3 linked regions of the Coturnix japonica genome follow. The protein of the gene in region 1 interacts with the protein of each later gene in a pairwise test. Links are inferred from orthologs where the notes say so. Each region holds a gene or a part of one and is shown in the gene's direction. Other genes may lie near its edges.

Region 1 (3,746 bases):
TGTGTTCCTGACTGATGACTGGTAAAATGTCAGTTTTGCAGCAAATCTAATGAGCAGAAGTTTCTGCCTTTCATGATTTTACCAAGGAACAGACTGGATGATGCTACTGTGTCTGTGACAAGACAGATTCTAATAGAAGCAAGCAGTCGCATTTGCCATCAAGCTGCCCTTTTGAGAAGCTGGAAGGTGAGTTTGGGGGTCTCGTGGGAGAAATGGGTGAGCGATTCTCTCCATCACTTCAGATGAATGCAAGTGATTTATTTTTGTTGTCATAGATCGTAGGATAAACTGTGAGACTGTGGCATGTGTTCCAGGCACAGTGTGTGGGTTGCCTCTCTTGACACGCTTCCAGGAGAAACTTCACTGTTTTGATACCACACACCTCCTGTCTGCCTGTGACACTGCTGTGGAAGCCTCGCTAACAAGTCTGACTAATGCACTGAGTGAAGAAGTACCATGAAACCAGCAGCCTACCCACAGTTGCAGAAAGCTGCAGAAGAAAGTGCTCTTTTTCCATGTAGCCATTTTCCTAGCATGAATTGTTTGCCAGGAAAGGAAAAGAATTAGCGTTTGCTGTTAAGCTGCTTCAAATTTGCATTTCCTTGCTCTTCAAAATGTATATTACTAATGCCCTGCTCTTCCAATTCTTTAATTTTTAGATTTTCTCCTGTTCACCAGTCTGAAAGAGAGGATCTTTCCAGAGTCACTAACTGTGTCATACAGACACTTTTGCTTTCTTGCGACTCCCAGCTGTCGCCTCTGAACTGACTTGTCACTTCTGTGTCACAGGTTTCTAACTGACTTGAGAGAGTTGGCCATGGTAAGAGTCAACAGCTCTACAGATGGAGGAAGAGGCGGTACCTGTCTTCAACTGCTTCTTGTCCAGATTTGCTTGAAAGGTGTAGAAGAAAGGAATGGAAGAAAAAGATCTGTTATACTTTCTCCCTTTGCTTTCCCTTCTTTCCTTCCATTTAATAAGTGTACCCTAACATACAGAATGTTTGGGGTTTTTTTTTGACAGAGAAATCTAAACCTGTGCCCCTGAGCTCCTGTTAATCACAATTTCTGATTAATCTGAAATCAGTATATTGCCTAAACTTTTGTGTATATATATCATCGTATCATAGTATCACAGTCTCGTGCGGGTTGGAAGGGACCTTAGAGATCATCGAGTCCAACCCCCGGGATTCGAGCCTCTGTGTAGCAGAGCGGCACTTCTACCACTTGCGCCACAGGGGATTCGAACCTGGGCTCCGGTGTCGCAACGCGGCATTCCAACCACTGCGCCACCGGGGCACACTAACTATATATATATATAATTATATATACTATATATATATACAAATATATATACTATATATATATACAAAAGAGTGTGTGTGTGGTGTGTGTGTGTGTGTGTGTACATGTGTGCATGCATGGGGAAACTTTCCAAAGTTGAGAAATACATTTTGTTTCACTTCAAAAAATGTAAGCATGGAACTTCAGCATTTTTCAAGTCCAAAGTGAATCACGCTATTGGTAAAGGTATCTCCCACTTAACACAGTGCTTGGTTTCCCAGACACATTGGAAGAGTTTCTTCCAATTCCTCGATTTATCTACGAGAGGCAGCAGCTTATCTACAGGGTGCACAGCCTCCTGTGGGGAAGGTGTTTTTCAGCTACCCCTGTGTAGCATTAGATAGATATTCAGTAGAAGAGTCCTTGTTGGCAGAGCCTTTGAATTTAAGCTCACCTCTGGCTTATTGCCTTTTTATTAAATGATTGCACATGTGGTCATGGGTACATCCTTAAGTTTCTCTCGCAAGTACTTACACTGAAAGTGAAAATAAAGTATAGATGCTGTACAACTAAGGGGACATAAGATAAAGGAGCAACCTTTAAACTGTAACGTAGGAGCAGGAGTTATCTAACACTGAGGACAAGTAAGCATAGACTAACTTGCCAAACTCACTGAATTCTGTCCTGCTGCAGCCTAGCGATCATTACGATCATGGAGCTGGGTGTTATCAGTGGTCAGGGGTTTTGTGGGATGCTGGGATCACTGATCCTTCCACACATCACCTGCAACAGCAAGGGTTCAGTCCCAAGCATCAGCATTACATCTGCTGTGCCTGGGAAATCATCTATCACCTAGTGGTTGCGTAGCACTAATGCTGTCCCGTTGGCCCTTTGCTGTGGCTGATTCACGTTGCTCATTAAGCACAGAAGCCGTTTTCTATTCCCTGACCTACAACTCTCAAATTCCACCAATGCTCTTTGTTATCACCCCACAACCCAGCAAAGCTGTTTGTTAGCTGCGCTACAGGGGCAGGACTGCAAAAACACTCTTGGCCAATGTGGCTGGAAGCACTGCATGATGTGCCTGCCTTATACAGCAGTAATCCCACAGGGAGAGGCACCCATCTCTGTGTCACCTGAAAGTGTTCTGCGGTCCAGAGTTTCACCTTTATCATCCTCACACCTAAATTTAGACCATTTCGTCTCAAGGGTGCTCTTCTGCAACTGTGATATTAACCCACAGCACCAGGTTCCAAGTTGTAATCACTGGTCCAATTGTGTTCATAGTGAATGGGCCATGAGACCCCCCCCTGCTTTCCTCCAGCTGCCTCCAGGTAACACCTCAGAGCATTGCAGCAGGGAGAGCCTCTGCTTGCTGCTCTGAAACACAGTAACCTTTTGGGGATGAAAATAAAAAAATATGGAGCGACTGTTTGGCAGTGTGTGTTTGAAACTTGATCTTATTATTTATAAACCAGGATTTAACCTTTTAAAATGTTTATTATTATGGCTCTTTTCTAAAGAAGGGCTGTAAGATCGCATTGCAACTCCCGTGGATGCGCTTGTTCTTGGCATTAAGGTTTACCTCTCAGCGCTTTAATGAAAACTTGTCTACATTTGCTACTACAAGGTGTCATTTGCAAAGCAACCATAACTCCAAAATACAAACTATTCACTTCTGGCTCGTCCTTGCAGTTAAAATAAACAGTCGTCTGTGGCCCATCCTCAGAGCAGGCTGTGTGTATGGACTGGCTTCAAATGATGATGTCGCTTACGCCTGCACAATTGATTTTATCAGAACTGCTTTCATGCAACTCAGAATACCGTTAAGAGGTCTATGAAGTGTGACTGGAAGCAACACTTGCACTGTGAAATGAGGATAGAAGTGAGAAGGAACGTCAGTTTGTCATCAAACCCCAAAGTGAGATCACAGAGACTGACAGCAAGCGGAAAAAAAGCTTTGATTTAGAAAGGGTAAAGAAAACTCAGAAGTCACAAAGGTACAGGCTAAGGAGCCATGTTGTTTTCAGAGCAGAATAAGTACTTAGGAGATAAATGCAGGAATTTAATAGAAACAGTGCTACCTTAATACTGGAAAGCACTTCTTAGAAGACACTGAACACACAGGCCTAAAAGGGGTGTGTTTTTCACTGAGCAGATGCACAAATAAATAAACTAATGGTTGTGGAGAAGAATTTAACCATATGCTTTAAGAACAAAGGGGACAGACACTTTAGCAGGAACTGTTGTGATAGCACAGAGGGAAATGATTTCAGGCAGAATGAAAAGAGATTTAGACTGGATATAAGTGAAAAGTTTGTTACGATAAGGGTGGTGAGGCACTGGAATATGTTGCCCAGAGAGGTGGTGGGTGCCCCATCCCTGAAGATGTTTGCAGGACAGGCTCTGTTTTGCAAGTCTATGAACAGTGGTAGTAGCTAACAGCACTGGCAGATGGAGTTCCT
Region 2 (3,746 bases), on another chromosome or scaffold:
TGCAGAGCAGATCCGAGTCCTCCTCGCAGCCCTCGAGGCCGAAGGTGGCGTCGTCCAGCATCTCCTTGTGCCGGTGGCAGACCTGCTCCACCTTCAGCCGGTTCAGCTGCGCCCGCAGGCGCATCAGCTGCTGTGCCAGGCGCTGGTCCGCAGCCTGCAGCTCCTGCTGGGGGGGAACGGAGCTGTCGGCAGGGGCTCAGAGCCAGCAGGGCTGCTGTGACAGCAGGGCTTGGTGCCAGAGCCTCGGGGAATCAGGAATACACACAGAGCCCACGTGTGCAGCACAGGCTGGGCACAGGGACTGGGATCTGCCCAGGTAGGTTTGCAGCCATGAGGCTGTTGCTGCCTGCACAAAGCAGCAGGGAGGGCTGACAAATGCAGAGCCACAACCCGCAGCGCTGGGCAGGGCAGGAGGGCAGAGCTGCAGCCCCGGGCACAACCCCACAAGCAGCGGCCGCGCTTGGAGCGGGAGCAGAGCTGTGAGCTGCAGCGGGAGCAGCCCTGGTGGGGTCAGGCACCGCCCCTCCGTGCCCCTCACCCTCAGCGTTACTCACCAGCTCCATCCTCAGCCACTGCAGAGCCTCCTCCATACCAGGGAAGCCACAGACGCTGCCGTCCCGCTCAGCCCCGGGCTGCCCCGAGGTCCCCTTCGCCCCCCGTGGGGTCGGGCTGCCCCAGGGCTGCCCCCGCACCCGCGCCTCCCACTCCAGGTACGAAGGGCGGCGGGTCTGCAGCTTCAGTTTGGCCGTGAGCGCCTTGACCCCAGCCAGGCTCTCCTCACCTGCAGCCGGTTCCTCCGCGCCCAGCTCAGAGAAGTTCACCTGGCCCAGGGCCATGGCTGCAGCCCGGCTCCCAAACCCCAAACGACCCCAAATCTCCAATTGCAGCTCCCAGCTCCCAGATCCCAAACCCCAGCGCACCCAGCAGGACGAGGAACGGCTGCGCCGAGTGCCGCCTATTTATCTACCCCCGGAACAATAAAGGTTGGGGATAATTATAACGGGCAGGAACTCGGCTTATCCAGAGGCGTGCAAAGAAGTTGCTTTTTGTTGTTGTTTTTATGTCCCTTTTCTTTCCTATTTGAGCGCCGCTGTCTCCGGTTGGGAGGCGGCTCCGTGTCCTCCCGGATGAAGCGCGGGGCGGTCGCGGGACGCGGTGCCGGGCTGAGCCGTCCCGCTCCACTCGCTGCGTGACACACCGACTTCCCGTCCGGGGCCGCTAAAAAAAGGGCGAAGGAAACGAGCAGCTCCACGTGCCCGCGGGGCGGAGTGCGGGGCCGTGGGCGCCCGGCAGCTGCGGGACAGCTGTGCGCTGCTGCGGGGCCTTAAGGTGGGTGCGGCGGCCCGGAGCCCCTCGCCCCCCGCTGCCGTCCCCTGACCCCACACGGCCCCGCTTGCTCCCGTTGCGGGGCTGCAAACGCGCGTGCACCCCCGGTGTGACCCCTCCCCGTGTCCCCTGACTCACTCCCCGGCCCCGCATCCACCGGCGGGGCCACCTTAACCCGCCCCCCCCCAGCGGCTCCGTTCCTGCTCAGCCCCGCACCCCGCGTGCCCCCTGTGTGCCCCCCGCCCGTCACCCCCCGGAGCCGTGGATCCATGGGCGGGGGTGGGTATTGGGGTTGGGGTGCACTGTGCGAGCCGCCCCCTCCTCCTCCTCCTCCCTTCTTCCTCCTTTTTCTCCCCTCTTCCTCCTCCTCCTCCCGCCCCACAGAACGGAGCCGATGTGAGGCTGCAGCCGGCCCAACTCCCCCCCAGGTGCCCCCCAGCCCGCACCGGGCGCGGCGTCCCTGCACCCACAGCCCCCCGAGCCCCGCGGGTCTCTGCCTCAGTTTCCCCACTGCGGTGACAGCAGCGCCGGGGAGGGGAGGAAACCAGCGCAGCTCAGCAGGGAGGAAGCGGCATCGGCTTTAGGTGACGACGCGAACGGGACGGGGGTGGCTGCACTGCGGGGAGGGACGGGGGGGTGGGGGGGCTCCAGCCGGGCTGTGCCGCTCAGGATTTCCCCTTTCTCCCTCCAGCACCGCCATGGAGTTCTCCGAGCTGATCAAAACGGCCACGGTGGAGAGTGTGCTGCTGTCGTGTGCGGGGCAGCCGGCGGTGAAGGGCACCCTGTGCATCACCAGCCACCACCTGCTGCTCTCCTCCTGCCCCGGCGGCGACGGGCAGCCCAGCGCCGTGGAGCTCTGGCTGCTCATCCGCAACGTGGACGCCGTGGAGAAGAGGTCGGTCCTTTCCCACCCTGTGTCCCCTCTTTGTCCCGTCCTGGATGGGGGTGATTCCCGGCTGCCCTCCCGGCACCGCAGAGCCTCCTCTCTCCTCTTCCCCATGGCCTGTGGCAGTGGCCATTGACCTCCTCTTCTCCTCCGTGCCCCAGAGTGCAGAATGTAGGCTGGTATCAGCCCCCCCACAGCAGCGGCTCCCCGCGGGACAACAGGTTTGGCTTTAGGTGCTCTCAGCTCCTCCATCTTGCCCGGCAGTGCCCGGCCCCACGCAGCTCAGTGGGGCGAGGATGGCTATGGCTGCTCAGAGGGGAGCTGGTGGGAGTCACAGCTTCAGGCACACCGAGATCCACCGGGAGCCCCGCTCAGTGCTGTGCCCTTCTCAGCCCCCCCGGACAGAGGGCAGCTCCGTGCTGTCTGCACGTGCAGCCCCTCCTGCCCTGACCCCGCTGCCCTCCCCAGGCTGGCCGGCTCCTCCGGCACCATCACACTGCGCTGCAAGGACCTGAAGGTGCTGCAGCTGGAGATCCCGGGCATGGAGGAGTGCCTGAACATCGCCAGCTCCATCGAGGTGAGCCGTGCCGGGCTGCAAAGGGTTCAGGTGGCTGCCCACGGTGTTTGCTCTGGGTCTGCCATTAACGTGGGTAAACACTCAGCTGCTCGGGCTGTGTTTGCATGGGGCACCCGCGCTGCCAAGTCTTGCAAGAAGGAACGGGGATGGGGTTTGCAGGGAGGACATTCCTGGCCTTCCCCCAGCTGTGCTGTGCTGTGCTGTGCTGCAGGCCCTCTCCTCGGTGGACTCCGTGATGATGATGTACCCCTTCTTCCACCGGCCCCAGACCCTGCGGCTGGAGGAGGGGTGGCCGCTGCTGCCCATGGAGCAGCACTTCCAGCAGATTGCCACGCAGGTTGGTCTTGGGGGGGAGGGAGGGTGTCACATCCCACCCTTAAGGAGAGGGAAGGGGTGACGGGATTGGTCCTTTACTCCTGGCTGGGGTGCAGGGGGAGGCCGCTCCCCCCTCCCACCTTCACATCTCCCCCCAGACCACCCAGTGGCGGCTGAGCGACGTGAACCAGGACTTCTCCATCTGCCCCACGTACCCTCCGGCCGTCATCGTGCCGGCGGCTGTGAGCGAAGAGACCCTGCGGAGGGCGGCCCGGTTCCGGCAGGGCGGGCGCTTCCCCGTCCTCAGCTACTACCACACCAGGAACGGCACCGTGAGTCCACATCCCGCCCCCCTTCCCTCTCCTCCCACCCCGCTGCCCGCAGGCGATGCCCGCAGCCCCCTTCCCGCAGGTGATGCTCCGCAGCGCGCAGCCGCTGACCGGCCCAAACCGCAAGCGCTGCCCGGAGGATGAGATGCTGCTGGGGTCGGTGCTGGACGAGGGCGAGCGGGGCTTCATCATCGACACGCGCTCAGCACAGACGGCCAAACAGGCGCGGATGACGGGAGGGGGCACGGAGCCCAAATCCTCGTACCCGCAGTGGAAGAGGCTGCATCGGCCGCTGGAGCGGTGAGTGCTGTGC
Region 3 (3,746 bases), on another chromosome or scaffold:
TTTATAGCCATCAGCAGCACCGTTTCCAGCTTCAGTTCAGCCCTTTGCACATCAATGTGTGTGTGCCTTCCTAAATCACTAGTTTTCCAAAGCTGCTACTGAACTCCGTGTATTCTGTACAATAAAACTTTCAGTCTTGGATTTGTTTTCAAGCCTGAAGAATAACACAAACCCACAAAGGTCTGTTTGCAGCACATACTTCTTTCTTTCAAACCTCACGAGAGATTCTATGATTGCTTTTCCCAAATTTCATGCATGTATTTTCATGATTTTAACACTGAGAATTTGTTCTGAACTCTGGGAAGCTCCTTGGATTCCTTTCACATTCACAACCAGGCACTAAAGCTCTCAGCAGCAGCTGCCAGAAAACCATTGTCTGCAACTTTCTGAAAGCAGAAGGTGAGTTCTGCGTGGTTTATATTTAGGGCTGTAATCCTCGAAATCCCCACACATAATCCTCCTCCTCACCAAAGACCTTCAAACGGAATCAAATCCAGGAGAAGCAAACAACTTCTGCCTGCCCGACCCCTCTGCCTGCCCGCCTCGGCCTCCTGCCCCCGCGCAGCTCCCTGTGAGGGAACGTGCTGCGGGCAGCGCTCCGTCCCACAGCCACAACCGCGCAGCTACAGCGGGGACGTGCCGAGGCGAGAGAGGGGCGTGGAGCGGGCCCCGAGCCCGGCCTCCTCCCGGGGCGGTGAATCCTACCTGCCGCCGTCCGCCGCAACACGCAGCGCTCCCTCCCCTCGGCCGCCCTCATCTCCCGCTGCTATAGCTACGAGCAGCCGCGCCGCCAGCCTCTCGCGAGAGGGGCCATCTTCACAGAGGCGGGACGGCTTCTCTCGCGAGAGCACGGAGGGAGTTTAGTGTATGTGTAGAGGTCGCTCCCTCAGGCCGTGTCCCTCAGGGCAGGGCAGGGCAGGGCAGGGCAGGGCAGCCCGGTGTAGCATCCCCTCACAAAAGGCAGAAGATCCGCAGCTTGTGAGCTAACTCTGTTTGGTGAGGAGCCCTACAGCTGTACCCACAAGGATCAGAATGCAGGCTGGAGCTGGAGCTAGCAGTGATTCCATGTGTCTGTGGGGCGGCTGAGCTCCGAGGATGCCGTGTCAGCACCGAGGTGCGGGCCTGGCCTTGTTGTTACTCAAAGCAGTTTATTATGGGATCAGTGCCCTAAGCCGGTGCAGTGCAGCTTGCTGGATGGAGCTGCCTGGATATAAATGTCTTCTTTTTGCCAGAGGCAAATGAAGTGTGCTTGCAGAGCGTGTGTAATTCCTAACGATTGCAAAGTATGGTGTGAGCACTGTGGGATATGACTGTAGCTAAAGGGAGCAGGCCAATGTGGTCACATCTACCAGAGGTTTGCATGTAATTCATGTCACAGCTGGGCTTGCTCAGGTTAGACCTGTAGCATCACATGGTCAGCACCATCTATTTGGGTAATGTGGGCAGAAATTAGATCTGTAAGAGTTTGGAACACTTGTTGAATAAATATGTTTTGATTTTCTGAATGTACTAGTATTTAGCTCACATTCCTTGCATTGCATTAGCTGCACTTTGTACCACGTAGTTTTCCTGTTAGCAGTGCAGTGTGGTGGTACAATGCTGACTCAGGTAGCAGTAGTTTTGGTGGTGCCTGGGAAACAAATTTTGAGCTCACTGGAGTAAAGAGCTGCTTTCCTATCAATTTGGGATTGTGCATGTAAAGTTAGGCTGAAGATGACCTGGGGGGGAATGCCCTTATCTTGTACAGCTGATACTTCCCTGTTGGTATTAATGAACCTCAATGAACGGTATAATTCATTTATCTGACAGTAACATGTAGATTTGAGGGCTAACACTCTGTCCTTTGTGCCTTTGTATTTCAGCGTTCCCAAGATCTCAGAGATATTGTGATAATCCCTGGAGGCATCCCAACAGTTCTGTAAGTTGTAGTTCTTTTTACCTGGCTGTTGAGCCCTTTTTAATGTACACAAAATGAGTTGTTGCCAGTGTTCTTTATCTGAAAGATGTATGTCTATATGCCAGGATTACCAGCTTCTGATCATTCAGGCTTATCTTCAATACCGTACCAGATGTGTAAGGTATGACCAGAACACTGGACTGCTTTTGTCAAACAAACTACCTTTTGTTCTGCCCAGGACAAACACAGTGTACTAGAACAGTGTATATAGGTGTCTGCTCAACTGCTGTTTCTTCTGTGAACAATAGAATGTGCTGCAGCTGCTGCCGTGACATTTCTATCACTTCTAAAATAACACAAAAAATATCTGTGCATTTAGAAGGATACTTATTTACTCTTGGTGACTTCGTACTCCATTTTAGTCTTTCGCTTTGGGAATCAAGCCAACTATGTTGGGAGAGAGAGCAAATAAAGAAGGCCTCAACCCTCTCCTGGGGACCGGAGATAATTAAGAGAAAGATTTAGAGAGAGTAGGTATAATGAAGCCCTGAATCCATGCTAGCTTCAAGCCCATTATAATATGACTGCTTTTATAATAGAATATGGAAGTAATTATTCATCTGATTCATTCATCCAGGCACTGTGGAGTTAGACTAAAGCACTCTTCAGTGTAATTGAATTTGTACAGCATCTGTGAGCAAGGAGTTCCTGTGCGATCTGGCCCATAGATTGTCCTTAGGCTGCTCAACAGAAAGTTCTTCTTTTTCTTTTTTTTTTTTTTTCTTTGCTTGGACCACTTTGTTTTTCCAGTAATACATAATGAAATTGGTGCTTAAGGCAGGAACTTCCCCTGGTAAGAAAGGGAGGTCTACAGAGTCCTTATTTACCCTTTCTATGGCGGGATGTTTTGCAGAAAATGCTTTGCAGAATAAACAAGGAGTTGTTTATTAGATAGCCTTTTGTTGTTTATTAGATGGCCTTTTGTTGTTTATTAGATAGCCTTTTTTTGTTTATTAGATGGCTTTTTTCAGTGCTCTCAGTGCCTTCCTTGTACTGTTCTCTCCAGCTCCAAACGCAGGGATCAGCAGTGAAACAGAAGTGTTGCCCATGGCTCATGTCTGAGCAAGAGAAGAGTTTAGATGTTTGTTAGTCTTTCATAGTATTGTCACGTCTTTCCTGTCCAGATTTCCAAGAAATAAATGTTTCCGGTAAGCCCTGTTAGAAGAGGAAAGAATAAAAAATATTTTTGTCTGGCACTAAGAGAAGAACTTATAACTGTAAAGTAATTTCTTGTTATTTCATGCATTTATTTGTTCACTGTAGACTTGTGAAAATGTTCATTGTAACTCGGGCTGCAAATACCTCTAATGCTTTCCTGCTTTTCAAGGGCACTGGTCATTATCTGCCTTTTTTATTTTTTTCTTTTAAAAAGTTGGAAAATGCCCATTGAGAGTTTTGATATGAAATACGATATCTGCTCCAAGCATAATGCCTCCTATTATTATGTTGGCCCATTATGTTGGTGGTATGGCAGTAGAGGCTGAACTTTCCCAGCAATGTTCTGCTGCATTTTGTTGCTGTGCAACAGATGGCAGCAGAGGGGCAGACTGACAAAACTGTGTCTGACATGGAAGCACGCGTGAAACAAAGGAGTACCATGAAATTCCTTCACCCAGCAAAAATGGCACCCCTTGATGCTCAGTGGCACCTGCTGAATATTCATGGAGACCAAACAGCGGATGTGAGCACAGTGAGGCAGCGGGTGGTGCATTTCAGCAACATGAAAGACAAGCCGTTTTCCAGATAGCCTTGTAGGCTCCTAAAATGCATAGTGAATGGTGGTGACTAT

Evidence for each region.
Region 2: the proteins of MOS (region 1) and myotubularin-related protein 9-like interact in binary tests that used the Homo sapiens proteins (3 or more experiments, as listed by UniProt). The link is inferred for Coturnix japonica from reciprocal best matches to the Homo sapiens genes MOS and MTMR9.
Region 3: the proteins of MOS (region 1) and SEC24C interact in binary tests that used the Homo sapiens proteins (3 or more experiments, as listed by UniProt). The two-hybrid records come from large-scale screens. The link is inferred for Coturnix japonica from reciprocal best matches to the Homo sapiens genes MOS and SEC24C.

The regions. Positions count from the first base shown.
Region 1 is NC_029517.1:100,576,169-100,579,914, reverse strand, and holds the start of MOS (proto-oncogene serine/threonine-protein kinase mos), read left to right. Parts: upstream 1-1,421; 5' UTR 1,422-3,746.
Region 2 is NC_029538.1:4,521,015-4,524,760, forward strand, and holds the start of myotubularin-related protein 9-like, read left to right. Parts: upstream 1-1,220; 5' UTR 1,221-1,329; intron 1,330-1,710; 5' UTR 1,711-1,910; intron 1,911-2,017; 5' UTR 2,018-2,024; coding exon 2,025-2,221; intron 2,222-2,373; coding exon 2,374-2,433; intron 2,434-2,680; coding exon 2,681-2,789; intron 2,790-3,000; coding exon 3,001-3,126; intron 3,127-3,262; coding exon 3,263-3,436; intron 3,437-3,515; coding exon 3,516-3,733; intron 3,734-3,746. Other genes in the region: protein FAM167B, read right to left, coding at 1-166, 555-836. UniProt on the Homo sapiens protein: Acts as an adapter for myotubularin-related phosphatases. Increases lipid phosphatase MTMR6 catalytic activity, specifically towards phosphatidylinositol 3,5-bisphosphate and MTMR6 binding affinity for phosphorylated phosphatidylinositols.
Region 3 is NC_029521.1:13,589,166-13,592,911, reverse strand, and holds the start of SEC24C (protein transport protein Sec24C), read left to right. Parts: upstream 1-977; 5' UTR 978-1,114; intron 1,115-1,862; 5' UTR 1,863-1,918; intron 1,919-3,746. UniProt on the Homo sapiens protein: Component of the coat protein complex II (COPII) which promotes the formation of transport vesicles from the endoplasmic reticulum (ER).